Linked DNA regions of Lepisosteus oculatus. The protein of the gene in region 3 interacts with the protein of the main gene of each other region in a pairwise test. Links are inferred from orthologs where the notes say so. Each region holds a gene or a part of one and is shown on either strand. Other genes may lie near its edges.

What was found.
Region 1: the proteins of atxn1a (region 3) and 14 kDa phosphohistidine phosphatase interact in binary tests that used the Homo sapiens proteins (3 or more experiments, as listed by UniProt). The link is inferred for Lepisosteus oculatus from reciprocal best matches to the Homo sapiens genes ATXN1 and PHPT1.
Region 2: the proteins of atxn1a (region 3) and pom121 interact in binary tests that used the Homo sapiens proteins (3 or more experiments, as listed by UniProt). The link is inferred for Lepisosteus oculatus from reciprocal best matches to the Homo sapiens genes ATXN1 and POM121.
Region 4: the proteins of atxn1a (region 3) and nlk2 interact in binary tests that used the Homo sapiens proteins (3 or more experiments, as listed by UniProt). The link is inferred for Lepisosteus oculatus from reciprocal best matches to the Homo sapiens genes ATXN1 and NLK.

Annotation. Positions count from the first base shown.
Region 1 is NC_090704.1:8,541,512-8,548,398, reverse strand, and holds 14 kDa phosphohistidine phosphatase, read left to right. Parts: upstream 1-4,656; 5' UTR 4,657-4,727; coding exon 4,728-4,869; intron 4,870-5,514; coding exon 5,515-5,639; intron 5,640-5,972; coding exon 5,973-6,065; 3' UTR 6,066-6,378; downstream 6,379-6,887. UniProt on the Homo sapiens protein: Exhibits phosphohistidine phosphatase activity.
Region 2 is NC_090721.1:492,938-500,358, reverse strand, and holds the start of pom121 (nuclear envelope pore membrane protein POM 121), read left to right. Parts: upstream 1-4,409; 5' UTR 4,410-5,075; coding exon 5,076-5,626; intron 5,627-6,037; coding exon 6,038-6,253; intron 6,254-7,085; coding exon 7,086-7,253; intron 7,254-7,421. Other genes in the region: hip1 (huntingtin-interacting protein 1), read right to left, coding at 1,011-1,127. UniProt on the Homo sapiens protein: Essential component of the nuclear pore complex (NPC). The repeat-containing domain may be involved in anchoring components of the pore complex to the pore membrane. When overexpressed in cells induces the formation of cytoplasmic annulate lamellae (AL).
Region 3 is NC_090705.1:39,523,493-39,530,990, forward strand, and holds the start of atxn1a (ataxin-1a), read right to left. Parts: upstream 3,006-7,498; 5' UTR 2,407-3,005; intron 1-2,406. UniProt on the Homo sapiens protein: Chromatin-binding factor that repress Notch signaling in the absence of Notch intracellular domain by acting as a CBF1 corepressor. Binds to the HEY promoter and might assist, along with NCOR2, RBPJ-mediated repression. Binds RNA in vitro.
Region 4 is NC_090721.1:8,929,362-8,937,142, forward strand, and holds the start of nlk2 (serine/threonine-protein kinase NLK), read left to right. Parts: upstream 1-4,766; 5' UTR 4,767-6,294; coding exon 6,295-6,755; intron 6,756-7,781. UniProt on the Homo sapiens protein: Serine/threonine-protein kinase that regulates a number of transcription factors with key roles in cell fate determination. Positive effector of the non-canonical Wnt signaling pathway, acting downstream of WNT5A, MAP3K7/TAK1 and HIPK2.

The DNA.
Region 1 (6,887 bases), on a different chromosome or scaffold from region 3:
CACATTAACCAGATTATTCTTTTAAATCTGACATTTACAGCATTATTTAGATATATATAAAAACATGCTGGTGGAACAGCAGAGGTGTGGCCAGATCAGGGCGGTAGACACCATCAGAGCCTTGCAAACCCCAACCCTAAATACTGGTATCTACTGGCAATTCTAAGGTCCCACTTTGGGGATAGAGGGAGTTTATCCCAGAGAAGAGGTAATAGGCTAGTAGTGGGAAAAGATGTGGCGCTTTGTAATACGCAGGTGTATTGTATTTCCCAGTTGTTTCCCTAAACTAAAAATAAGACCACAATTAGATAAATGCAATTTAGAATATTAAAAACAGTGTATTAGAATACATTACGAATACTACAATGACTTGAAAATCCAGATGGATTCAATCAATTTTGCAATCAATTAAAATCAAGATGCAATCAATTTTGAAACTGTTTAATTACTCGATTGTGTTTGATTACTGATTGTGCTTTCGGTGGAACGTTAATTCTCCTTTATGGATTCTAATAGAGCCAAGAACTGGAGATGTCACTCCCATTCAGGATAACTGTGCATAATAAAAAGGGATCGTAACTCAATCACCACACACGTTACCCCACAATCAATATCAGTGTTCTAGTATTGAAAATTATATATATATATTTCATATATATATTTCAGTTGTGAAGATGTCATAACCAAGTAATATTTTTAGACAGATGTCAGAAGGGAGTTTAATCCAGTAATCTCACTGCTCATTACAGGAAAGGAAATGACCAGACAAAGTTTATACAACCAAACTGGCGCCTTTCCTACAACACAATATTGGAGAAATTCCACTACGTCTGCTGGGCTGAAAGTCTCTACATATATTTCCTGGAACACACTTCAAATTACTCTATACATAGCTATAAGCAAAATCTTCAATATTTGTATAGTAAAAAATATTTAGTACAATAAGTATATTTTATGCCACTAACTCAACACATTCTCTTTTTAAAAATTGGACATTAATATGCACCTTCAACTGTATCAAACTGTGTGTTATCATCTTGATGCAGAGCCAAGGCTTAGGTGAAACCCTTGGAAATTGAGAAAGGAAGCCTGTGAAACTCTTAATGTGCAGTATAATTATATTATAATGTCTGAAGACGAGAAGGATAAGTGATTTACCGATATAACTTTGTACTGGGAAAGCACCTCATGTAAATAGGAAATCCAGAGAGCTTTTTGCATGCGAGCCAAAGTAAAAATGCTTAATACTGTCACACGCTTCACCGCTAAAGTTTTGATTAAAAAACAATTATAAAAATAGTCAGCCCAAGAAATGACACCTTGTTTTAAATCCGGTTTATCCCAGTGGGTGAAGGAAAAAAAATTCTTTCAAATAACAGAATGCTGAACACATCAAAACGAAGGAGTCCATCAAACAAAGGAGAAGATACAGGAAACAATTCTTTCAATTTCACAGCGATGATAACAAACATCCCATTTCGCTTTCTTGAAAGATAAGACTTCAGTGTACTGTAGTTGTATTTAAAAATCCATTAATCAAAAAATATTATGTTCCAAAGAATTTATTACAATACATCTAAATTGTATTCACACTGTTCCGGTTAATCAGAGTTAAGGTTTATGTCATCTCGGCTGACAAACTCACAAAAGTGACACAATAAGTAAGACTTAACCTGATCAGTGTGTTTAATCATTAAGTGATGATGGAAAATAAAGATGAAATAAAGCTGAGATAGAGATGAAACAGCTATGGAATGAAGTGGAAATAAATAGGAATGGAATAAAGATGGAATTATACCTTCTGCTCTGAAAGAATATAAGTGAGAAAAAATATTTGAAAATAAATTAGATGTTTTTTATACATTGTCAAATGCCAGAAAGATCTAAATTCACATGGTCAACAAACAAAAGTGGCACAAGGGAGACTAGGTTTGAAACAAGGTAGAGAACTTTCTTTCTTTAAATTAAGAGCTACAAATGCACTATAAACTAATTGAAAAACAAAATCAAATGGAAAACATACAAATCTCGTAAATTCTTGGGACCAATACAGAGCAAAACATATAAGGGTAGTCTATGAATGGATTCTAAGAGCCCCATAGAACAACCACAATTCAGCCAACCCAGAGACTACAATAAGTAGGGACTATGCTTACTCAGGATTAAGACTTCGCTGTACTTTACTATATTTGACCATGGAAACACCATATAGACACGTTTACAATAGTGCACTATTGCACTCCTGGTGCAAAATGTTAGTGAAGTGTCACATGCAAGACTCCTTCAGTAAATGTGCCATGGTAAACGCTGTTAAGGCAATGGCTGACATGACTTTACTGCCTGTCAGCAAGTCCCACCAAACAGACCCATTGAAAGATGTAAACAACTCTTTCCTACTTTCTTTCGCAGCGCAGATATGACTAATTTTAGCATCGAGTGGGTTTAAATACAGTGGTTGTGCCTCAGTGGAGCTTCAGAAACGTTTCAAGTTCTGATTTCCACAAAGGAAATAATAAAGACGTGAGGGTGTTAGTCACACTGTTGCCATTCTAAAAGTACAGCCTAGCTAGTTACTGTTAATTCCAGCTGAAATCATTTCACTTTATCTGCACGGTCATTTGTCCATTGTTCTCTTCTAAATCGCCAAAATAAACGTTTGGATTAATTAGTCATTCACATTTTGGATTTTCCCGACTCAGGAAATGTCTGCAGGGGGAGAAGCTAGCTGTTAACACAGCTTCTGCCTGGGGCCTGCACTGCATATACACCTTGATCAGACAATGGTTTGCCAGTCAATCAGCAAATTATTATTATTTTTTATTAAATGAGGCAACATTTGAAGGTGAGCATTGTCTCTAGGTGCTTCCTTTTAGAAAACACACCAACAAAGCACAGTTAAGGTACCGAAAAACTTTAGAGAAAGCACAGGAAGGTCTCAAACCACAGATGAAAGACTCAACATAATGTATTTTTACAGGAAGCTTCTACGTTTTCAAGAACCTAAGCGTTTTTAAGCACCCTAAAAACATAGGATGGTGTACAAACTGGATAAACAAACACCAATCAGAAAGAGGTGGTTCGGTGAGAAAGAAAAACATTTTAAAAGAGGAAAGTCTGAGCAAATGATTTCCTTCCTAAAACATGAGATAACTCGACGTTAAATGTATATGCAACTTACATTTATGTAAAAAAAGACTCTTACAGTGTCATTATCAGCCAGATGGGTCATTAAAGTAAAATAAACAACATTATGAGAAGGAAAATAGAGCAAACAATGAAGGTGTCTTTAAACCATACAGTTTTAGCAATCCTAACTCTTCACAGAGATATTGGGTATTTAAGTACTCTGAACCTTTCGCTGATGCCTGCTCTCTTACTGTATGTCAACTTTCTTTACCCTGTAATTTCACCAAACTGTGATATCTAAGCCGGTAAACATCTTATAAATTGGATTATTTGCTTGGAAATGTGACACACAACAGCAGAAAATTGCTCAGCTTGTACTGTAGCACCACATACAATTGTTTTTACCAAATATGGGCGACGTCATAGCAGAACAGCTGTTATATAATTGTGCGTTATGAGGCTAAGTCTGCTATGAAATAATTCTTTATTGCAATATTCCCATATATTAATTCAAACAATGCTTTACATCTCTACAGGTTTCATCCATCCATTTTCTAACCAAGTCTTCCAACTCAGAGACACAGGGGAGCTGGAGCCTATCCCAGCAAGCAACGGGCGCAAGGCAGGGTACACCCTGGACAGGACGGCAGTCCATGGCAGGGCAGGGACACACAGACTCACACCAGTGCCAGCATTCCCAGAAGCCAATTCACCTACCAGTATGTTTTGGACTGGGGGGAGAGAAACCATAGCACCCAGAAGAGACCCACACAAACATGGGGAGGACACACAAACTCAACGCTGGTAGCACCTCAGGTCTGGAATTGAACCCGGTGCTCCAGAGCTGTGGTTTAGCAATGTGTCACTATGCTGCTAGATCTCTACGCGGTTTTTTTTACCAATATTTTTTCTTTAAGAAAAATAATAAATGCGCTGTAGATCTTTGCACTACATGTTTATCGTTGGTGATCTTGCAAAATCTCTAATTTCTATAAAAAGACTTGTAGAAAACTGGCCAACCTCACAACAAACATGACCTCCAAAGGCCTCTTAACTGCACCTTATTGTTGTACAAAGGGAAACGGTGAACTTCGCAGTATAGAGAGAACAGCATATGCGGAGATTTAAAACAACAACAGGAAAATAAGGGTAATATAAATGCCAGCTGACAAAGCAGACTTGGTGAAGTACGCCGCTCATTGATCAACAAAGAATTGGATTAGCTGTGCCTGATACTCCAGTATGGTGTTAAATCGCCTAGTGCAAGCTACATTTTTACTTTAAATCAAATTAAAAGTATACTGAAATATGACTTTATGAAGCACTTTGGGATAGTAAGACGATCCCGATTTTACATCGATAGTAAGATGATGTAAAGACTATATTATATGGTGGGAAATCTTACTGATTGGGGTTAGTGGATTTGCACAGTCTGACAATTTGACTCGTGATTGCTATGAACTTAAATAACTGTGTCGCTTTAAAGTTCATCCGTCACAAACACTGGTTTTCCACGTATGACGAAGCTCCACCCAGAATAACAAAAAGAATTGCCAACAGAGAAGCGGTAGTGAGCTGTTTTATCAGAACCGGAGAAGGCCATGGCTGATTTGTTGAGTAAAGTCTCTGATGTTGAAATAGACCCCGACGGAGTATTTAAATACATTCTAGTGAGGGTGAAAACGAAAGATGGGTCTCAGCACAAAGATATAGTGAGAGGCACGGCGAGTGCCGAGTTCCACAGTAAGTTCAGCTCGCTGGATGAGGTTACCTAAATAATTCGAGCGATTTACACGCCTCCATAAGTCCAGTGTTTGCAAGTGCTGGAGAATAAAGATTGGTTTTATGTAGCGTTAAGGTTATTATATGTGAAATATTGAAAAATATAGTGTCCTTCAGGAAGGAAAACTAAACGTTTTAAAAATAAAATGTGCCTACTCGCATGTTCTATTTTTAAATACCAAACGTAGCTTGAAAAAGAACTTCGTGACACAGGCATTTGATTGTAAAGTATAACGAGATTGCCCCGATACATAGATATAAAGGGGGTATACCTAATACAAGAAATGTTGCATTAAGAACATTTTTTATCAAGTTATGATTATGTATTTTCTTTTTTTTTTTTCCTTTTGTCCTAAACGTATACTATGCACTGTTTGAGTTATATGTATTTGAGAGGTTTGGTCATGTTCTGTATTCGTTTGTGATGAGTAAACACAATCTTAAAATATTGAAATTAAGTACATTTTAATTCGAAATTAAAGAACGAAAATCATAAGGGGTGCAAACGTCACCGAGACCAACATTGTGGGATGACCGCCACATGACCATAACTGGACCGAGATCGTACGCATGACCTAGACACCCACTTCTTTTCTTTCCTCACAGATCACATATTTGAGAAGGTAAATCCTGAGATGGAAAATTTAGGAATGGAATGCAGCTGTCTTGGAGGAGGGAAGGTCGAACACAACAGTAAAGAGAAGAAAATCAGGGTGTTCGGTCTTTCCACCGTAAGTTCAACCTCAACCCTTCCATTTGGACCCTGAAGTTTCATGTGCGGTCATAAAAGGGTTGAAACCTGCGATGGACTGTTGACCCGTTCAGGGTGTAGTCCTGTTTCAAACTCTGTTTCCAGGATGGGCTCCTGGTTACTGCAATTCTTTCCAGGAATAAACGGCATTCTGATAATGGCTGAACAGTTATTGCTTTGCTTTGAAAGCATGCAGTCGCAATTCCTTTAACTATCTGAAGACAGTTGGCAGAAAATGCTCATTCATTTATGCAGTCTTGGCTGGTGTAAAGACGCTTTTCCTTAGATATACAAAACCTTTTTTTTCTTTCAGGGTTATGGAAAAGCTGATCACTCCTTGACGGTTGAGAAATTGAAGGCTGTCTTCAAAGACTATGAAATAACCTGGTCTGATGATAAGAAATAGATTGAAAAAAATATACATAATAAAATATTAAGGATTGCACTAAACATATATCCCACTGTTTATATAACAGACATTATTTTCCCATGTGTAAATAAACTTGAGTGTCAGTGTTAGATGAATTATGATGTGCGGTATTATATCTTTAAAGCTAATAAAAATGATTCATACTACATGGGAAATTTTACCCCAAAAGTACAATGTACCCTTTTCCCTCATTACTAAGTTAAAGTCCTGTTAATCTGTATTGGATTCAAGAAGACAATCAAGTGTTCGGATATGATTTAAGACTGAAAAATAAATCAGTTCAAACAGCTCTGTTGTCCCCCTTGGCTGTTTTTAATGATAGTCTTGTCACTCGTACTGTAAGGAACCAGGCAGGAAACAAAACATTGAAAGAGATGAGAAATGAAAAGAGATAGTTTGAGAGAGGAGATCATCTGGCCCATAATTATTTGGTTGGTTGTACTGTAGGTGTCTGGTTGAAGGATCTCTCCCAGTCCTTTCTTGTACGGAAGCCTAGTGTGTGAGCTTCAATAAGATGACTGAGCAGCATGTTTCAGACTCCTACAATACTAAATGTAAGGACATTACTCTTGTTGTTAGTCTTAAATGCAGGTCTCTGTACTTTACAGTTCTGTCACCTGGTTCATGTTTCACGGTTAACCTTGAAGTCTAAGAGGTCTTTGTCAGTTTTCTGAGATTCTAAAAACTCGAAACAAGCCCAGTCAAAAGAGAAGGCCAAACATATTTGATTATTTTAACCTGTCAGTCTAGTGTTTAATTCCATACTTCATGATGTCGATGTTATTGAAGTTTCAAATC
Region 2 (7,421 bases), on a different chromosome or scaffold from region 3:
GGGGTCAGAGGGCTAGAGCTCCGAAACAGCCCCTCCAGCAGGCCGCGGCTCGCCAGAAAAACGAGGCGCAAAGCTCGTGAGGACACACCTGGTGATATTCCAGCCCTTCTGCTCTCGGCTCAAATTTACGTGCGCAGCTCCAGGGACCCGTCTGGGCCACAGTGCCCCTTCACCCTCTCACACACACAGCTGGCCCAACCCCTGATCACCCCCTCGCCCCCAGACAAGCGCCCACAGACTCTCAGCACCAGTCAGGCAACACCCTTCTGCAATCCCTTCATATCAGGGATGCCAGATAAACGGTTCCCTTTTCTCCTATTAAACCCAAACACAACCATTCAATCACCTGCACTGTGCACACTGTGGCTTCTAAAGCCAGCAGCTCAGTTATAAAGCCCAGGGATCGTGAATAACTAACTCGCCAACATCCCGGTCCGTGCGCTTACTTGTAAATCAGCCCTTCAAGCCGCTCTGACAGCTAATCGCTACGGCCAGCTGACGGATCTCACAAGAACAGGTTAGAAGTCGTCAGGAACAGATATCGGAACTGACAGCAGCCGAGGAAAGGCGACGGCCCGTTCTCACACGGTCACTTGAGGCGAGTTTCGACAAAATCAAGCCGTATTGGTCCGAACCGAGGGCTCTGCCCGGACGCGCCCGCTCCCCCAGGACCGCTTTCGCGAGTGGCAGGCGGGGTCACCTGAATTTCCACGCCGGTCCGAGGCGCGACAGAGCACGACGCCGGGCCGGAGGGGCAGGGCCGGAGGGGCAGAGCCGGGGGGGGCGGGGGGGCCCCGCTACGTCACTCCCCGGCTCGTGCCCCGCGAGAGCCGCTCGAGACCGGCTCGAGACCCGCTCGCGGACGCCCGCCGCGCCGCCTTTCCCCGGTTGGGACTGGGACGGCTGGGAAATCGCGCTGGGAACCTGCCGGCCCTCGCAGGAGGCTGCCCTGCCTTTTCCTCAGGACCCGTTACACGGAGGACCGCAAGCCCCCCGGGCGCCGCTCCTACCTGGCTGCGCTCGAAGCTCTCCCGCTCCGCGTCCAGGCTGCTGGCGCCCGCCCGGCGGCTCAGCACCTTGGGGATGGGGTTGGGGACCTGCTGTATGGAGCTCTTCACCCGGTCCATCGCGGCGGGCGGCGAGGACGGAGTGCTGTTTTAGAATAGCACGACCAGGCAGTGAGGGAAACGTCCAAGCGCCCCGACGAAGTTTCTTCGCCACTCTGTAGTTCACAACTCTCCGCCCCGGGAGCTGCCTTCCAGCCTGCCTGCCGAACACCCCCAGCTCGCCGAGGCGCACCCGGCGCAGGCCCCGCCCACACTGAAAACCTGGCGATGTGATTGGCTAGTTTAATACAGTGGCCCACCCATTGCTCGTATTTCCGGCTTCTTCTTGGGCGGTCTCGGCGTCAATCTTAGTTTAGCCCCGCCTCTGGGATGATCGGAATGTCCATCGCTATAGTCCCGCCCAGAACCCCCCTCCCCCTTTTACGACACCCGTTCTTCCTGACGTCCAATTGGTCAATTTCCACATCAATCACCCAGCTACCCCGCCTTCCAGAGCTCAAATCTTTTACCTGATTGGTTGTTGACCCAGTTAGTCACTTGCGTCTGGGGGAAAAAAAAACATTGGGGAACCATGTCTCATTGCAGTCTTAGGTTAGTAAGAGCTCTACTCAATAACATCCCCAAATTGTGCAGAATGTTCTATAAGTATTTTAGATAAAATGTGGGATTCTCTGTACGTTTCGGTAGGTTTCCAGTAGGGGAAAACTGCTCCCTAATGGCGTGGCGCGTTGTTGTCACGCCCTTATCCATGACTTTGTTTACATTGCCAGAGTTTGTGTACCGGCTGTAGATGCGGGTCCGTTACCGAGACCGGAGGCACTGTCAGTCTGACACGCTGGACACGGGCCTGTGTCCCGACACACCCCCTGGCGGCACCAGCACATCACTCAGTTCAATACCCAACACGGCTCTCGGCGGAGTCACCCAAACACGACCCAGTCTTTATTGTACCGAGCATATTCCTGTTCGCTGCGTCATCTTAAGCATCGCTGATCCCGCAACGGTGAGGGTGATCTTTAAATTGAAATGCTATCCGTCCTGATTGCGTTTCCTGGTCGGGCGAGGGAAGGACACTGATGGAGACAGTTAAAAATAGTCGCACGGTATGCTCCGGAACTCATTCCAGAATCCACTTGAGACTTTTTTGCAGGATTCTGTACTGTGTATATAACCATGTTTTATGAATCAGGTCGCTGTCAAACAGTTTTGCATCAGTTGTGAAACTTTCATTTCCGTTCCAAGTTTTTTTTTTCCTTTCTTTTCAGTTTTTTCCCCCTTTTCTATGGTCTGTAAAAGTTTCCTCCTGTATTTGTCTAGAGTGGCCCAGGAAGGCGCTGCTTTCTGGGACTGAACCTGGCGGGTCCTGGACTGGTCCTGGACGGCGCCTGAGCCGGCCGGGTCCTGGACTGAACTCACCCCGGAGTCCTAGCGGGGAGCGCGGGAGGTGTGTCCGTTGGCCTTCGGGGAGATGGCGAGAGGACGAAGGAGGGGTGGGCAGTGCGAGGTCGCGGGGCAGAGACAGGGCGCGCTCAGGGGAAGCGGCCGGCTGAGGAAGTGAGGTGTCCCCTCAGAATTTCACAGCTGGCTGACAGAGAGCCTCTCACATCCTCCCTCCCTCCCTCCTGGCGGCTGGCCACGGGCCCACAGCCGTCCACACGCCCCCCCACCCAGGAATCCCGGAATCCCAGCACCTGCTCCGACTCCACCCCCATCCCACCCTGTGAGTGTCCACTGTTCTCCTGGTCCTTCAGCCCCCTTCACACTGGGCTTTAGTGTAGCCCTGTGGTGGCCCCCCAGCCTGCATTGTGCTTGACCGTACCTCTGTGCCTCGCACTGTTCACACCGTGCTTCACCGGGCTGTACTACTGTACGGCTTTACTTCTTACAGGTGAACCAAATTGCGTCTCCTTGCACAATAAAGCAGAGGAAACGTTCTGTTTATCCGTCTTTCACTTTTCCAGAGTGGAGTCATCTTCTACACGTTCAACTGCCCACTCCAGCCTCCAGCGCAAAAAAAGCCTTTTGACAAACAAAACCTTTTTGTCCTCACAAAAGCACATCTAGGGCTCTTCAGTAGCTGGAACCTTTTCCTCCCCTCGGGACAGAACAATCATTTCAGCACCGTCGTTCTGCAGCAGGCCTGTGAAAGGTCCCGCACGAGAGCTCTGGAAATCCTGCGGGATTACAGAACAAAAACCTTCAAACACTGAACCCAGAAGGATTGTTTGCCCATTACAAGCATTCAGGGTATGTACAGGAGTCCCAGAGGATATGGCTCCCCAAGTCCTAAGAGTTTCATTTTTCAGGACTGTCTTGTAGGTGAAGTTATGGGAGTTCCCAGTGCCCACACTCGCACTTCTCTCTAGCACGTTGAAGGAAGAAGGGAACGTTTTATTGTCCCATTAGAGGACAGCTGTCCATGTCACTGAGCCACTATACAACCCAGTTCAATGAGAATGATTTGTCAAAATACAGTGCAGCGTAAGGAAACATGGATACTGTTAAAGTTTGTTTTTGTCTGGAACGCAAATTCTCCTTCTGAATTAAGAAAACGTAAGAGCATTGCAATTAAGGCGAGTTGAACTGCTTAGGATTTCTACAGCAAACGTTTAATTTGGAGTCCTGTGGATGTGAATGTGCTGCTAGTGAATTTGATCCTTTTTGCTCAAAAACACTTCTGCCAGTAATTAATCTCCCATTTCCAGTCATACTCCTGGCTGCGTCCCAGGGCCCGAAGGAGAGAAAGTGAGACAGTGCTATCTGCTGCCTCCCCTCCAGCCATAATAAATCAGTGTCTTTGTTAGATCACAGCCCAGTGAGAGAGCACCGTACTGCAGTATTTCAATGTGTTAAGCTCCTTTAACATAGCTCTCAGGCCATGCTTTGGCCCCATGAGCACTAGTAGGGGGCCTGCTTACTTCAATTAACATGTAATCATCCCAGATTAGTGCTAAATCCTGGTCTGTGAAACTGCAACTCACTGCTCCTTACAGTATAAAGGCAGACTAAAGTCCACATAACAGTTCTCAGGTTTGCTGTGGTCCAGCAAACAGAATAGTTCTGCATCAAACCAGTGTATTATCTGGACCCAGATCTCTCTCAATGAGAAGAAATGAAATTCACATTTTCTGAGGCTGTAAATTTAACTTATCTCAATCGACTGACAGAAATGTGGGATATGCATGATAAAGTTAAGCAGTATCCTGGTAATTCCCGGGGCAAAAAGTTTCCCTTTGGAAGTAAGGTTACATGTTTTTTTTTGTGTTTGTAAACGCTTTTCCTGACACTCCACTTTACAGGTAATGGGGATCCCCTCCACCACCAGTGTGCAGCCCCACCTGGATGATGCGCCAGTACTCTCACACACAGCAGCTCTCGGTGAGGAGGAGAGCAGAGTGATGGAGCCAGTTCAGAGATGGGGATAATTAGGAGGATTGGTAAGGGCCAATGGGAAATTTGGCCAGGACACTGGGGTAACACCCGTAATCTTTTCGAGAAACGCCCTGGGATTTTTAATGACCACAGTCAGGACCTCGGTTTTACGTCTCATCCGATGGTCGGGGTCTTTTTACACTCGAGTGTCCTCGTCACTGCTGGCATAAAATATGAGTTTCACCCTGATCACACCTGATTCTCTTGAAAGTTATAATTCTAATCAGGGAAATTGCATCCTACAATCGTGCTGTTGCCACAATGCTTTGTAGTGCATCTGTCATGCGTGGTAGTACTGCTGCACCACGCAGTGAGAACACATGAAAACACTTTCTATGGTGCTGCGGTAAAAGTTCAAGAGGAATCCCAATATAAATAACCGACTTGACGGTGAATCGGCCGACGTGCAAACCCGCTTCGTCGGTTTAGGTGACTGTGGACAGAGGTCAGCCCCTGACCGGGCACAGGCCGGCTCCCGGCGCCTCTCCTGCCCGCCGAGCGAGACCGGCCCCCCCGCGCGCCCCGCGCCCGGCAGGATTATGGGATATTAAAGTCCTCCGGCGGCGCGCTGCCGCCATGTCTCCCAGAGAGAAGCGGCGGATCGCGCTGATCTCTGTGGCGCTCCTGGCTGTCGCGATTTTCTGTTTCGCTCTTTATTACATACCGACTTTCCTTTACGTCTTGTTCATCCTTGGAGTGTGCACTGTCGCCTGCTTCTGCCACGCCGGCGGCCCGTCCCAACACACCAGGCTCGGCCCTCAGCCTCGGCCTGCCCTGGCCATCCCGCCGGCGCTCAGACGCTGGTTGCCGGGCAAGACCGCGAACGGCGTGCCCTCGGCGGGCCGGGTCAGCTCCCGGGGCCACCAGGGCCGCCCCGGCAAAGGCGAGCTTGGGGATTCGGCGGCGCCCAGAGGCGAGCGGCGCTGGGAGGTCCGGGGCGCTTTTCAGAAGGAGGCAGAAGGCGGCGGCAACGGCTCGTTTGTGTTCAGCCCCCGGGACCTGCTGATGGGGAGCTACCTCAGTAAGGCGGACAGCCCCGGAGCCGGCGGGGCGAGCAGGGAGCTCCGGGAGAGGCTGGCTCGGCCCAACCATGCCGTGCACACCCCCAACAGGAGACTGTCATTCGGGTAAGACCCAGCCGGGCGAAGCGGCTCAACCTCTGTGCTTTGCTACTGCGGAGAGTGAGACGGCGCTGTGATTAAAATAAATCGGGTTTGTTCCTAAGTGCTACAGCGCCGGTCTGCTCGCCTCTGTTTAAAGCCAGCGGCGGGGTTTCCCTCCAAGATTTGAAAATGTGGGAGTTGCTGCTTCGCCGCGGTCCGGCCTCTCCGGGGGGGCTCGGCTGTCGGACCGGGCCGGCTTGGTGCAGCAGGGCTGGAGATGAAGTGCCCCGAGATGTTTGGGCAGCTGGAGCCCTAGGGGGGGGGCTCCGCGACCGGATAGGAAGTGGGCTGACCCGGACGGGCCGGACGCAGACGCTGGCGGGAGGTGCGAGCTGCGTGCGGTCCGGTGACGGTCTGTCGCTCTGTGTGCTGCAGGGACAGCCTGGGCGCGGCGGGCCGCTTCAGCATCACCCCCCAGCGGCACTACCCCCTTCAGCAGCCGGGCTGCCCCTCGCTGGGGCCGCTGCCCCCCGTGCAGTGGGACGGCTGCCGCAGGAAGAACGTCCTGACGCCACGCAACTCCCCGGCGGCGCGCAGCCCCGTGACGGTGAAGATCGCCCGGCCGGAACCCAGCCGGACCCGCTCCCCTCTGTGAGTATGGGCCTCTCCGGCGCCAGAGCCACTGCTGCCACGTGCTGTCCTGATCGTGGCCCTCTGTCCATTGTCATCCCATACAGTTCAGAGTTGCGGGGGAGCTGGGGTCTGTCCCTCCCTGTCTATACTCCCCTTCGCCACAGGACACGCTCGCTCTGCCCCCCTCGCACGCACGCTCGCTCTGCCCCCCTCGCACGCACGCTCGCTCTGCCCCCCTCGCACGCACGCACGCTCTGCCCCCCTCGCACGCACGCTCGCTCTGCCCCCCTCGCACGCACGCTCGCTCTGCCCCCCTCGCACGCACGCTCGCTCTGCCCCCCTCGCACGCACGCACGCACGCTCGCTCTGCCCCCCTCGCACGCACGCACGCACGCTCGCTCTGCCCCCCTCGCACGCACGCACGCACGCTCGCTCTGCCCCCCTCGCACGCACGCACGCACGCTCGCTCTGCCCCCCTCGCACGCACGCTCGCTCTGCCCCCCTCGCACGCACGCACGCACGCTCGCTCTGCCCCCCTCGCACGCACGCACGCACGCTCGCTCTGCCCCCCTCGCACGCACGCACGCACGCTCGCTCTGCCCCCCTCGCACGCACGCACGCACGCTCGCTCTGCCCCCCTCGCACGCTCGCACACACGCTCGCTCGCTCTGCCCCCCTCGCACGCTCGCACACACGCTCGCTCGCTCTGCCCCCCTCGCACGCACGCCAGGGCCATTTTTCCCAGAAGCCAGTTTACCACCAGCAGGAAACCCACATGAAACACACAAACTCGCACAAACCAGGTCCAGAAGGGTCTCCCCTTCTCACACTGTTTCTGGACTGGCTGCAGGTTTGACCGGCTGTCCTCTCCGCTGACCGCGCTGGCTCCTGGGCTGGGGGCCTCGGTGGACCCCTGCTCGAAAGAAGCCGTCCTGACCGCGCTGAAGGAGGGGCGCAAGAGAGAGGTGGAGGAGGAGGAGGGAAGGAGCTGCAGTGAGGGACAAGAGAGCAAGAGAAGGTGTGTGCGGTTTTCGTCCACACCCGTGACTGTCTGACAGGACTGCAGCTCTTCATGTTGCTGTCTCTCATTCTTTCATTCCATTGTTAACAGTCTCGGCCATTTTCTCCACCAGTAAACAGTTGTCTTCAAGTCGTGATGCCCTTGTGTGGAGTGCCCGGGAGGTGT
Region 3 (7,498 bases):
CTGGGCTTGTAACTGCAAGGTTGTGGGTCCGAGTTCTGACAGCAGTTCCTCTGGTGTACTCCTGAATAATGTGCATGCATTGTTTCAGGAACTTCAACACTAGATAAATTCCTTAGCCTTCAAGAAATGTGTTAGATGCTAGCTTATACCACAGCTTTGTCCCCTTGACAAAAAAGAACGTTTCACTTTATAAAACTGTGCAATAACCCATGCAGAAAAATGTCTTTACCCTTAGAAAACCTTTCTCCTTGATTCCATATTTTACAAATACAAAAACCTCATCCGCAATTTCTCAATCCGTGCAGTGATGCCCAACTGTGATATAAACTAAATGCTGTAAAGGTTAATCAGAAGAACGTTATTTTTTAATCTGATCGAAGAATAATTCTCTTAATTTAAACGTAATTGGAATTATCTGCAGCAGCAGTGGCCTTATAGTAACAGTGTTGTAATCACAAAACTAAACCTCAAGCGGTTAACTAAAGAAATTGGCGGCAAGCGAAGATTACTATGCAGTGCCCGTGAAACTGGAGAACATAGCCCGGCACAAGGCAAACACACCTGAATGGGTGAATAAATACTGTCTGTTGCCATAGCAGCCCGATCTAATTGCTTGATTGATCACGGCTGAAGTAAGAGCGCCGCCAGTCTGCACTGTGGACTGGAAATCTCCATGCCGCTGAAGCAAAGCTCCGGTGAGGCCATCAGCCTCGGTCTACAACAGTCCTCTCTAATACTCTCCTTCCATTCAGTGCAGAGCGCGGCTGGCAATGTTTCACTATGGGGGAAGTTTAATTTGCTCCTGATAAAAGCATCGGAAGAGCTCACTGTCAGTCACAGCCAGAGCTAGGATACCGAGAGCCCTGTGCCTCTTTTTTTCCCCCCCACACACGTACTGTATATCCCAGTTCTGCAGACATTATTTTCACCTTTTCAAAGATCTCAACGTCGAACAAGAGCTGCCCGCCTAAAAATGTAGACGGACCTCAACTTTGCGACTTCACAAACCTCCACCAGTGCTGGTAACGTCGAAGCAGTACAATAGCGTCACGAAAACAAACTTGCGAATGCAGACAGTTCGTGTTAATGTCAGATTGTGAATACACCGAGATGCCAGGGAGGAGAACCTGCCTCGTTAGTCTACTACAAAATATATATCGCAGCACGGCGATAAATTGGTGGTTTTTCTCGGTCTCCCCCCTCTCTAAAGACCAACGCTAAGGCAAGTAGCGTGCAAATCCGCAAGTACCCGAGCAGAAGTTGCAAAAGCACATCGGTTTAAAAGGATTCCCTAATGCACACAGCCTTTCGTTACTGTAAACAAAGTATAAATAGCCTGCAAACGCTGAGATCCCAGCAGCCTATTATATAACAATATAGCTAGCTGGGTTACATGACATCACGGGCAAGACTTAACAACCACTAGCCGTAAGGAACGGGGGAAAAAATGTCCATTTAAACCGAATTAATTTATGTTTGGGTGTATTTAAGAAACGTCATAGTGAATCGGCATGTATTTTCTAAATATGTGTATGTTTGTTTTCTTTAATGTTACACTTACTATAACCTCGATACAAAAGGCATAGTGGTGTTAAACTAATATACATTTCTGGGCATGGGCCAAATAATATAACGCATAAGACTACCCTTAAGAAAAAATCGTAATGCAGGGATGATGAAGCTCATAATTGTGGACTGTTTTTCTTTAGAAGCAGCTACTGTAACATTTCTAGGTAACAGGGTTATTAAAAAGAGTTACATTTCTTTCAACCCAGAAGAGTGTTGCATTTACGCAACGCACCCACACGCCTGTCCTTGGAAAGAGCTGCCCAGCAATAATAAAAAAAAAACCCCGCTTCATAAAACTAGAAACAACACGCTTATCTCGTGGATTACTGTACTACTACACACACACACACTATGGACACATCGATTAGGAAGTGCTTTCTGTAATGCGTCCTGAGCCCGCTAGAGGAAGTGGAGTGACGCAGCGAGACGCGAGAGTTGGTCCGACAGCAGCCCCAGCTCAGTGCGCTTCTCCTCGGCTACCGCGCCTCGCAACATCCGCCGCACCGCCGCCTGGTGCGCAGCGCAGCGCAGCGAACGGGCGCACGCCTCGCAGTGCACGTCCAAGGACGCCCGGGGCGAAATTTTTCCCAGACCCTTTCCTCTGCGTAAGAAGTTATACCTCCTTTCTGGTGGTGGTGGTGGTGGTGGTGTTGGTGTTTTTTTTTAAGAAGGTGGGGGGGGGGAGAGAGAGAGAAAACAACGCCAACTGTGATCCATCGCGTCTCCCTTCCTAGTTCCTCAGAGCCATTTTCCTCACTTCTTTGGGGAGGAGAAGCGGCGACGGAGCCGGGGGCTCCCGAGGCAAGACATCACGCTAAATAAATCGCCGGGACTTACTGTACGGTGTAATGGTCTGAGGAGGGCAATGCCTTTCCTTGTTGCCAGGGCTGTTTTCCTGCAGTGACGGCGGGTCCGTCTCCTCTCCACTACTAGAAGGATGTCTGCAGCAAAGCGAGGCTAGCTCTCTCTGTGTCGCTCGCTGTTCCCACCTCTCTCTCTCGCTCGCTCGCTCTGTGAATGTGTAATAGAAGCCAAATATGGAGCAGTTGGCCGCCTCTGCAATAGCTCCAGGATCCTTCACTATGCGAGGAGGGGATGGAGGCGAAGCCGCTCTCTGGCACGAAGCCAGGAGTCGCGGATTAAGGCATACCCACACCACACGGAGTTACGGAGAGCTTTAACTCCTTCGCCGCCGGACGTTTTTGTCGTGTTGTTCCCCCCCACCACGTTTTGTTTTCTGTGGACAGCTGTGGTTTCTCACAGTTTCGTAGACGCCAAGATGAAGTTTACGGTCTCGTTCGGGGAAAGCGGTCGTGGTGCATGCAGGTGGTGTTAGCTTTTATCCCGAGCGAAGCCCTGGCACCTTAGTGCAGTCGAACAGGAGCTGCTGGCTTGCCCGGGATTTCAACTCGCTACCTTCTAGTAAGGCGCCCAGAAGCCCAGAAACCACACTGCTACAGTACTTCATTCAACGCTGTGATCTGCATGAAGTCACAATATGTATTAACTCCTAACCAAGTGACTCCTTTCAGCGCATGAAAAAAGTAACATTGAAATGTGACAAGTCACGCCTAACTAGGTGCTGCGTAGACAAATGCCATCGGTTAAAAAAGGTGGTTAGTCAAGGATACTATGTTCATGATAAACATCATTACAGCCAGATTATTTTTCTTCTAAAATACATCGAGCGCATAGGTTTTGTTTGCACTCCAAACATAAAGATAGCTTTAAAACATTTTCTTCTCCTGGCTAAATTACAAAAGAAGAACATGTTTATATGTTGTGTATATGTTTGTTTTCGTTCTACTGTGTCAATATTTCCGGATTTTCATAACTGACCGATTCCAAATTGTTAGTCTTTAAAAGAAACAACAAACAAACACCAGCCATCAGGTGAGCAGTCTATTGTGTCGAAAAAGCAAAACGGACAATTGAAAATCCTGATTGTGACAATAAAATCATATATTTAATTTCTAAATAACACTTGAGCAAAGCTATGCTTTGGGTCATAATCTTAAAGTTACAGTGTCTCTAACTGTAAAATTTTAAAAAGTAAAATTGCACATTTTTCTTGTGGCCTGTGGCTAAGAGCTGTTCTTGGAAAATACATTGGTCCACAGGCACCTCCAAAACTGCTGTACTGTTCAAGTCAAACAATATGTCTGACTGGTATTTTTAATTCCATGAATCAATTTTCAAGCCATATGAGAAGAAAGGGACATGGGACTGAGATCTATTACCTTAGACCCTGAAAAAGAGTTTCCTTCAAGAACAATACTGTTGAAAACTGACTCCAGTGTCCAGCAGGCCCACACTTGAGTAGAAGAAAAGTCAGAAACCAAATTTCCCCCAAAGGCAGATCACTCTTAACAGTTGACCATCCTCAAGTTCAATGCTAACATCTACGATAGCAGCATCTTCCAGTAAAACCGCCTATGAAACGCCTGTGAACTGATTAAATACACAGCCAACCTGGGGAAGAGCTGTTGTCAGGATTTACATCATTAATATACTGTAGGTAGAAAAATAAAAGCTGGCCCCTACTCTATTGCAAAGTTGTATGACATTTCAGCTGCAGGTTCAGGTATCTTTGCTGTCGGATTTCACATACACTTTTTACTGAAAGGAGTTTGGAGTTTTTATCTGACTTAATTAATGTAACCCTTTAGCTGAAGGTTTGACTGTTTAAATGTTTTTAACTGCTTTCAGCACTTAAAATTTACCCAGCACTGCTGTCTGAGGTTTCTCTATTGGTCTTTTTTTATGATGGATTCTCAGTTGAATCCTCATTTTAATTTTGATAAAGCAGCCATTGTAAATTAGTCAAGAAAGTCATTAATCGGGACTGTGATGTGTAAGCTTTGCTGGTCCTTCAGGGTCTCCAGCCTTGTTCTTGGAGAGTTGCTACCCATCCAGTCTTACATGTCAGCATGGCATCGACATGGGACGTAACTGATGACTGAAAAGATGGAATCTGCTCAATTTAGAAATCATTTGGAAACAAAAAAACTCAGTCCTTGAGGACTAGAGTCCCTTTAGACAAATGCCCTGCTCAATAGATCAATAATGTACTGGAAAGTGTTGTTCATCTTTTTAGATCCTGGTGATATCTCCAGAATCTAGTTTTCAGAACCCCCTTTTTTCTGTGGGGGTTTCTATTAACTGAACGGGCCTCTGGAATTTAAGTCACTGAGATCAAGTGACACTAAAGCCCAATTATATTCAAAAGTTAAAATCTCAAACCCATCACCACTAACCAACCAGAATATCTAACGGCAAGTTCCCTGTTAGAGGAAATACAGTAGGAGCTCCTGTGGCACAATATCAAGTAGAGTTTTTATTTGGGACTGACAAGTGAGTTCAATTTATTTTAAATTCTGGCCTAAATTAATGTTTGCCATGGGAATTCATGGTACTACACAATTCCCTTATGTCACTAAAATCACTGCTTAGATGTTTAGTGAGGTGAAGAAGAAGAGCAGTTTCTGGAAAATGTTGTGCACATGATGCTTGCTAAATATCTTGACAACTAGCAGGGTATTTCTGAAACACATGACTGAGTGCAGAAAATAGCCCAAACAGGGTCTAGATCTAATTAAGAAACTGTTCAGTTAAGGAATCAATTAGTCAAAGTAATTAAAAGCTCAGCTACTACATAAACTAAGAGATACAGTATCCTGGGGACTGGGGTTTGCTAAAGAGCTTGCTGGAAAAATAGTTTTTTTCTGTTTTACTGTCTTACAGTATGAATAGTTTTTTTTACGGTATAGAGTACTTACTCTATGAAGTGGCTTCATTACTCTGCTCTCCTTCCCACTGATGTGTGGTGAGCGTTCTGGCGCACTATGTCTGCCGTCGCATCATCCAGGTGGGGCTGCACTGGTGGTGGTGGATCATACCCATATTATGATAAGTAGCTTTGACATTTGTCCCGGCTCATTTCAAAGTGAAGTGAGGACTAGCACTGTCAGCATCTCCCAAGAGAGGTACAGTAGTTAGACTCTTGCCCACTATAGGGAATCGTCATTTCAAGTCCTGAGCAGCTGTATATTAGACAATGAAAGGCACACAGAAAGCCAGCATTCATTTTCCAATTTCACAGCTCGGCTTCTACTGATATTGAACAAATAATATTAACGGTATGCTGTAGATACAGAGATCGCTGATCACAGACAGTAGTCCTAAATAACAGTTTCTTTAAAACAGCAAAATACTACGGATTGTCTGGAGCTTGTATATTTACAATAAAGCCTTACATTTCAAGAGGCAAGAGGAGATGCATTATTTCACCTACTTGCATCACATGTTTCTAGAAAACAAAATGCAACTTGAAAAGGTTATTTTGATTGTGTAATCCCACTTTACAGAAGTGGCTACAAATGGATATTGAACTGAATATTAGAAGAATACGAATTGAATACATTCTGTACTCTGACTCCTGATGTTGATGACTTCTATCAAAGAGTCAGGGTTAGAATTAGGGGCAGGGTCTTTCAAATGTGATAAGCTTTGGGCCTGAGAGAATACACATAAGACATTCTAGCATTGTTGCTTTGGTAGGGAACCAGAATTCCTTAATATTCTGTTACCATCAAGTATTTCCTAAACAGTGATGTTGCTGACAAATTTCTGTCAATCAAATACATCAGAAATTAGGTACTTGCATGGCAAGCCTCACAATCTTTGAAATCGTGACCTTAAATAGTCCCCAGTTCATCTTTCTGAAGAACAACATTACGCATACTAATGACATTAACACCACAACCATCCGTGATTTCATCATATGTGTGTAATTTCCTTAAGAATTTCTCCTTTCTCAATCAACAAAAAGAGGATGATAAATTATTTACTGTACAACACAGAAAGTATGAGAACAAAGATTTTTCTTAAAGCAAACACAGCCAGGATACGTTTCATTTAATAGGGGCTTCATCTATACAGATGGCAGGAATTGGGGGTCAGTTCTAACAACTAGCAGTGTTTCAAAAGGTTCGCCTGTTACATATGGAATTCTGTGTAAAAGCAAGGTAGTTCCCTTCTAGAATACAAGGTTGTTTTTGCTTGTCATCTAGCCTAATTAAATTTGGCAGTTCTTGTAATAAATATAGCATCTTAAGAATCAAGGCTTCACATAACACTAAGGTACAACGTGAAACTGATAAAAGTGGGTTCTCATAAAGAGACAGCTGATTTAAATGATTTAACGATTTCATATCACGAAGTACTGAAACATCCTTGATAATGACCACATCCTCAAATTTTCAGTCAGGAAAATACTGCAAGGAGAGTGATGTTATGACAGCCATGTTTTATTTCACTGTTTTGTGGGAAAGAAGAAAAAATACTACAGGAAACTGAAGAACTACCATGAAGTGAGACGTTGTCAATTCCAAACAACGCTCACTATCTGCAGAGCGAATGTGCTTTTTTAAAGCTGCACTGTAGCTGGAGAAAATCTCTCACATTTTGTTATACAGTATATTCAGAGACACCCCTTTACCCAGGACAGTACATACTGGCAGTAATGGTGGTCTATGAACGTACATCGGTTTTCTTTTTCTTTTCAGAGCCTATAAAAAACAACACTTGGAGCTGCAGCCAGATGTAGTCTTAGGCTCCTGTTTTATGGTTCCTCTGCGGAATCTTCCCCTTCCATTCTGAGCCATGCCAAGAATCTAAGGAAAGGATACAATTTTAGTCATAACTTCCTTGTTTTGGTCTTTATGCAAAAAAACTTTTTTTTTTAATGAAAGTTCCGAAGAGCTGAAAGTGGTGTGGTCATCAATTTACACAATTGTAGTACTGAAGAGGAACATTTAAAAGGATGGTCTGTACTGTTACTTTACATTACTGCACATTACTATATACTTGATATCCTGATTTGCTTTAATGCAGTTTCTCTAAGTTATTACCTGTACATGAATCTCCC
Region 4 (7,781 bases), on a different chromosome or scaffold from region 3:
ATCGGAGGGGCCCCTTTGACTGAGTTCCAGTTGTAAATCTTCTGTATTAATCTGAGCCTTTTTATTACAGTACCAGTCTTCAGACAAGAGCCATGCTGTCTTTGGAAAGTGTGCCACTAACACATGGCAATGCAAGAGATCTTTAACCCTTTTCTGAGTTTCGGCAGTTTGAATTGGGTTGAGATAGATAAATAAGACTTTATTGATCCTGAAGGGAAATAAATGAATGACATATGCATGACTATTATATTTAATGAGTATGTGTGACATCAGAAGACACTAGAAGGACCTAAATGCTTCCTGTGAGTATTTATTGTATAAAAGCTGAACAGTATGCACCTTGTGAAATACTTCCTACTGTAAATTTGCATGGCTTTACAAGATTGTGTATATCTGAAATATGCACTGTTTACCATGATTTCTCTGTGCTTTGCTACACTTTGCTGAGTGGTTTTACAACTCACAATACACACTTACCTCTTGTCTTGCATACACTGCATATAGCCTAATACATCTGTAAAATGGGAGAGTGTACAGTATCAGGTTCCTAGGACCATGTCTGCCACCAAGTCTGACTTTATACCACCTGGAAACAATGCTTAATTTGCCTAATTAAAGAATTGAATTAGAACATTCAATAACAAAGCACGTTGCAACAGGAATATAAAAACCATCAGCTCCTTCACATGGGATTCGAGTGCCCCTGGAGTCCGATATGATTGAATGGTCAAATCCAAACTCACTTTTTCCTACTTGACAGCGCGCCTGAGCAGAGCACAGAGATGGAGGGGCTTGGACCTGCAGAATGAGCTGATGGGTTTGCCAGCAGAGGAGGCATCAGAAGTAAAATGCCAAACTCAGGCGGTCTGAAATATTCCAGGCTTGTGGCCGGAAGAAAGGTAATTAAATGAAAACCAATCTGATACTCAAAGCAGGAAATAAATAATGGGGTTCCTTACGAATGAGGTGAAACTGAATCAGTAGGCAAGGTGCTGTTTGTCAGGGAAGTCCTTGTGGTGATCTCCCCTCCTCACTGAGCCCTGGTCAACACATACAAACCCCAGCCTAACTGGGTAAGAGCATCTGATTCATCTCCCCCTAATTCCTGTAATTTAAATGCACCGCAATTACTTATTGATTTCAGACCCCTCATTTCATTGTCCATGTATGACATATTTAAACGAGGAATAAAGAACTTCAGACTTCTGAAGTTTTGCTGTTAATATGACTTTATATATGAATATACTGTACCTGCAGAATGCGCCTCATTTCTCTGACAGTTATATTTTTGTCCAAGGAAATGAATAAACGCCAGATTAGGTGCTTTAACAAACAAATAGAGTAAATGCACCACATATTCTGCCAATATATAAAATGCCTGTTAAAAGAAAATGACATTGAAATTCAAAGAATCATGTGCTATGCCAGTAATTTACTTTGTAAAGTATAGATGGCTTACAGTCTGTGATAGGGGTGATTCATAGAAAGGATTCTTACTTTACAGGAGTTCCTTCTATGGTGATTACAGTAGTGTTAGGAGTTCCTCTGGGAAACAACTTACATCTGAAAGTGAAATATGCAATGGTGATAGGGTTGGGAGTCCAGAGGAATACGCTCCAATGCTACGAGAACACTGTGACCCAATTTACCCTCGTCAAGAGGAATCATTAATTAAGGTAATTAAGAGGCACACAAGTAAAGGTCGATGCCATTATTCGGATAATTTATCACCTTGTCTTTTACGCCTGTGCCACTCTCCTGAATATCGGCGTGCCTTTTTCGCTCCAGTGTATAAATCAGTGCAGGAGCCACAGAACCCCATAGCCCCAGCCGAAGAGAGTGGGACTGAGGCAAAGTTTCTGGAGCAGGCTTCAAGCACACAGGGAAAGCAGGCTTTGCGTTAAAGAGGACAGTGCTCTTATTTCGAGGTTGGGCTGGGGATGAATTAATTGTTGATAATTAGTGCATCTTAAAACTAGAAAAAAAAAGAATTTCTTTGGGCTGCAGATCTCTGGCGTAAGTGGTGCCAGAAGCCTGGGTTTCAAAGTCTGTTTTGCTCTCGGGTTTTCCGAAACCCACAGTGTGCACTTGAAAAAGGGAACGGTTTAGGAAGATCTGGGAATTTAGGCCAAGTTGACCAGAGTCTGCAATGAAGGAAAAATCTTTGAATGTCATCTATCAAGGGTGTTCTGACTCTTCCAGTGAAAAAATGTTATACCTGAATAATGAATGAATAATCCACAACACAGTGAATTTAATCACCAACAGAGACCCATTGTAGGCATGTAATAATAATTATTACAATTATGCTTATATATAGTTTTCTGGACACTCCACTCAAAGCGCTTTACAGGTAATGGGGATCCCCTCCACCACCACCAGTGTGCAGCCCCACCTGGATGATGCACCAGTACACTCCTCACACACCAGCTCTTAGTGGGGAGGAGAGCAGAGTGATGAAGCCAGTTCAGAGATGGGGATTATTAGGAGGCCATGATTGGTAAAGGCCAGGGGGGTATTTGGGAAGAACGTTTCAATATGAGACGAACTGGGTTCCCCCCTGTATGTACAGTAAAATGCTATTTGGAAACCCTTAGGGGTGAAAAGCATCACACAAAATGCCTGGATTTATTATCGCTGTTATTATTAGAGAGGATAATAGGATTAAAAGTCTGGTGCATCTCCGTTGTTTCCTACTGACTGAGCAGGGCGAAAAAAGAAAACAATTCAGCAGCCTTTGTTTTCCAGTATGTGTGACATCAGAACTCTTTCTGTCAGTTGCTAACCTGTTCCCAGTTGGTGGCAGGAAGGAACACAGGGAGGACAAAAGCAGTTTGATGGCAGATGTATACAGGCACAGGACACCGGGCTTCGGACAAAGACCTTGCAGGCCTAAATCCATCTCCTGCGACTCCACACCCCTGGATCAGGTCATAATAGGCCCGAACTTCAGTCTCGTGACGTGGAATGCGCAGCTGGTGCCCGCGCCCTCACATTACCGCCAAACGCTGACCAGGAGAGAGCAGCTGGGCGGCTCGTTCGATATTTGAACACGCCAGCGGCAGGAAGGTAGATAGATAGATAATGCTTTATTAATCCCGTAGGGAAATTGATGAAGGTAGCCCATTTGCCTTCACACCGCTGCTAAATCTTGCAACCCAGTAAACTAACCCTCACCCCCCCCAAAAAAAACAAACAAATTAATATTTAGTTTTCATGCTAATGCGACACGTCATGTCCAATAATGAAACGTCTCAATCTTTTTCTGCGCCTACCACCTGCTGATGTTGTGAAGTAATGCTCTTTTCGTTCGGTTTGCAAAATATGACCGGGGTATTTTCCCTCAAATTTATTCTTATTTTGTCATGGATTCCTCACCTTACCACTCCTGAAGGAATCCTCCTGTAACGACTAGCCAGACAACCAGAGAGACGGTGTTTCTACCCTACCCCACGGACAGGTCCGCCGGCACTATCCACAGGGCTTTCATGGGAGGACAGGAAGTAGATCGCCAGGCCTCTCTTCCGCGCAGACAGTGCGAGTGTTGTTGCCGTTGTCACGGATATGTGACCCTCCAGCACCAACCCAGCCCCATACTGCTGCTGCCCGGTATGGGTTATTAGAGAACCTCACACCTGACGTGGGACACAAACCCACTTCCCTGAGATTATGAGCGTCATGCTCTACCAACTGAGCTACCCAGGGCTTCGGAAATCTATAGGGGTGCCTTTATTTTCGACAGTAGCACAACTCTGTTGGATACACAGTATCACAGTATTTGTGCAACAAAGCTAATGTATTCTGCCATTTATTCCCTGCTGATAGTGCCAACACTTCCACTGCATGGAATTTTAATGCAGGTCCGAGTGTTTTCCTGTGATGATGTGTTGGAATATTTTTGGAGGACTAACCCTGTGACTGCCTCCCTCTTTCAATGCATGGGGTCCATTTCAATGGACCCTATGGTCTGTTTTAATGAGAAGGCATGCTTGCAATGAGATGGTAATGGTCTCTTCACATAAACAAAACGCAACTGGGGAATTTGTGGTTTACCTGCAACCAGAACACAAGAGGAGAAGTGGAGGTTTTATTTGTTTGCAAGGCAACTCGTGCAAACACCTGTTCGTGGTAGTACTCCTCAATGAACCCGGGATGACCCTGTGTATTACCATTCACTGCCATGACAAACCGTGGACACCAGGGGGCGCCAACACACACTTGCTCTTATTAAGTTGACCTCGCGTGTGGGGCGCATCATCTTTTGTATACGCACAGGAATTCGGCGTCTTAATTATATTTTCTCATAAAGGCCCCTTCTCTGCCTGAGGTAACCAGAAGATTAAGATTTTAAAATCCCTATACAGCACGCCTCTAACAGCTAGCCGTGACCGAGCGAAAACCCCAGTCTCGTCTGGCTGCGTCAACAACGATTGGCTAATCTGACGGAGACAGGAAAACTCTGCCCTTGGCGTTCAATGATTGGTGTACAGTCTCGTCCATGACGTATTGAAACTGCGCTCACTCCGCCTGCCATTTTGGATCCACGGGAAGGCAGGCGAGGTAGCGCTCCGCACGAGTCGCCTTGAGCCACAATGGCGGCAGTTTCGAGAGATTTAAATCTCTCGGCCCTGTCACTCCAGCTGCCTCGACGCGGAGGAGGCACACCTATTGGCTGTCACAAGTCACAGTGTTCCTTGCCTGCCCTCTTATTGGCTGGGAGGCGCCGATGACGCGGGCAGTGGGCGGGTCGCCTGAATCTTAGGCGGCGCGTGTCTTCCTCAGTGCAGCTAGCGCTCTGTCCGGCGCAGGGGAGACGGGAGTGTGGCGGTTTGTTTTTGTTTCTACGGCGGAGCCGGCCTGGGGTGTGTTTTATTTGAATTTTTTTAATTTGGGGGGGGAGGTTACTTTTGTTTTCATGCTGTGAAAGCGGTGTGTGGGGGGGGGGGCGGCAGACAGGCTAGCAAAGCCGGCAGAACTGGACGCCCATGGAGAAGATAAGTTGACTGTTCCGTGCCTGGGGAAGACTTGCTTTTCCTTCGCAGCCAGGGCGAGAGACCTGGAGGGGGGGTTATTCACGAAAATGATCCGGATTTCTGGAAACACGGGGGCGCGGAAATCGCCGTCGTTTTAAAAAAAAACACAGTAACGGGGGGAGAAGAGATAGGGTGAGCGAGGGAGAGCCTCCAGGCCGGCTGCCCCCCCCGCCAACCCCCCGCCGCCCGACTCAGTCTCAGCCAGACCCCATCTTCTCGGCTTGTGGCTCCGCTTGCCTTCAACAACAGACCCCGCTGTCGGATTTGCTGCTGTGCAATTCTGGTTTTGTGTCTCCAAGAGGAACAACAACAACAACAACACCGGCACCCCCAGCACAAAATCTAAACGAGAAATAAAAGCGGGGCGAAAACCAGATCTCTCCTAGAGACCGGCGAGCCGACATCCATCCTCCCAACTTCTGAAACTGCGCGCAGCTGCCTGGCGCACAAGTGCGGCTGTAGGAGGAGAAGAGGAGGCGGCGGCGGTGGTGGCGGTGGGGGGTTTGATCCAAAGGAGTCAAAAATGAGGAAATTAAAAAGATGATTGCCCCCCACCCCGTGTGATCCCGGAGCCCGGCTGTTTCGTGCCGTGAGAGGGGCGAGATCCTGCCCCCCGGGAGGAGGGAGAGACAGAGGGGGTACCCCGGCGTCCACAATGAGGGAGTGTTGAAGGCCGTTGCGTCTGTGTATTGTTGGGGTGGGTGGGTGGGGGGGGGAGAGAGAGAAACGGGTCGTTCCCCGCCGGAGGAGTACCGTTTTGAGCTTTTAATCATCCTCTTTTCGTTGTTATTGCGTGTGTGTGTGCGCGCTATCTCCTGGAGGCCGGGCAAGGCAAGGCTGTGTCCTCGCTGCCGCTGTCCCCCGGCCGGGACGCTGCTGGGCCGGACCCGGGACAAGTCGCCCCCTACCCCGGGAAGTGGGTCAGGCCCCTCCTGCGTGGAGATGAGGTGCCGGAGAGAGTGAGCCGTCCTCTCAGACAAGCGATGGCGGGGCTCGAGCTTATTTAATTTATTTTCCTCACTTTTTTTTTATTTTTGGATTTTTTTTCCCCCTTCCGTGCCTGGTGGGGTGACAGCCCAATGCCCGTCTGACCACCCCCTCGTCCCCTCTCGCCCCCTCTCCCCCCTCTTCCCTGCTCTCCATTCACCCTACTTTTATTTTTCGTCAACAAAATTAAAAACACACACACGAAAATACTACAAAAAGAAGGAAGGAGAGGGGTGGCTTTTCTTCCCGGCTGGTCGTTTGTCGGCGGAGTTGAATGGCTCTGTGCGGGACCACGGCTACCAGCGCCGCAAAAATGATGGCCGCGTACAACGGCGGCGCCTCGGCGCAACACCCGCACCACCACCACCACCAGCTCCAGCACCTGCCTCCCCCCCACCTCCACCACCACCACGCCGGCCAGCACCACCTGCACCCGGGCTCGGCCGCCGCCGTGCACCCGGTGCAGCAGCAGCACGCCTCCACCACGGCCGCTGCCGCCGCCGCCGCCGCGGCCGCCGCGGCGGTGATGCTCAACCCCAGCCAGCAGCCCTACTTCCCCTCGCCGGCTCCGGGACAGGCCCCCGGCCCGGCGGCCGCCGCGGCCCCGGCCCAAGTGCAGGCCGCGGCCGTCAAGGCGCACCACCACCACCCGCATTCGCACCACCTGCCGCAGCAGCAGCAGCTGGACATCGAGCCGGACAGGCCCATCGGATACGGAGCTTTCGGAGTGGTCTGGTAAGAGCTCTCTGGGTCACCCGTCCGCCTTGTGCTCAGGGCAGCCCCCCCCAGGCGCGGTGTCACATGGGAGGCAGGGGTCTGCGCCTGGTCTTCCCCGGACCGCTTCCGAGAAGGTGCCAGGCGGGAGAGGGGCGGGGTGTAAGTTCTGCTTAAGTAGCCTGGCGGTCTGAGTTATAGGAAAAAGAAAATCGCTCGTTCAGTGTTCAGATCTTCCAGAGAACGGTCCGGCGTGAACTTGCACCTAGTTAACACTGTGCTGATGAAGCTGCGCTCTCCAGAATCGCTGGGGGAGCCGGAGTTAGTTGAGCGGGGCTGGGGGGGAGTGTTAGCTCCGTTTCTCCTGCGAGTTCAAAACGGGACCTGCCGAACCAACCGGAGAGAACAGCTGTAGTAATCTGGCCAGGCGGGGATGGAGACCTGTTTCTCCTCTCTCTCTGGGACGTCATTCTACCACCTAGGGCTTTCCTTTCTCTTCTTGTCAGCGCGACAGGGCTTGCAGCGTTGCTGCATGATGATGTCAGTCTGGCAGTGCCAGTGAAATGGATATTTATAGGTGGTGGTTGCAGTGCCCAGGGCTGAGAGCACACTCTCTGGCACCGTTCTGCACACTCGGTAAAACTTTCAGATGGGTCTGGCTGCTGTTCTTAACTAGGGAGCTGTGTGGAGACGCTATCGCCCTCTATTGCAGGGAGAGCTGTGCCCATGCTGCTCTGGACCTGGGGTCGTAGAAAGCCTTTGATTCTGACGCCCTACTGATACTTATTTCATCCACATTTTTTCATTGCTGTGCTTTAAGTGCTGTTTTGTTAACGGGAGAATTTCTGGAGTTTTGTTTCTATGAATTTAGCTTTGATAGGAAATGCTGGAAACCTCACATGGCTGCCGGTGGGATCTTTGGAGAGGCTGGCCCTTTTGAAATAGGTTTTTGTCCTGTTCTTCTCCTAATGGCTCTGTCTGTTCAAGCTCATAGGCAATTAATGTGTTCATCAAGCTCTGGACCAGCTTGACAGATAAATCGGCACA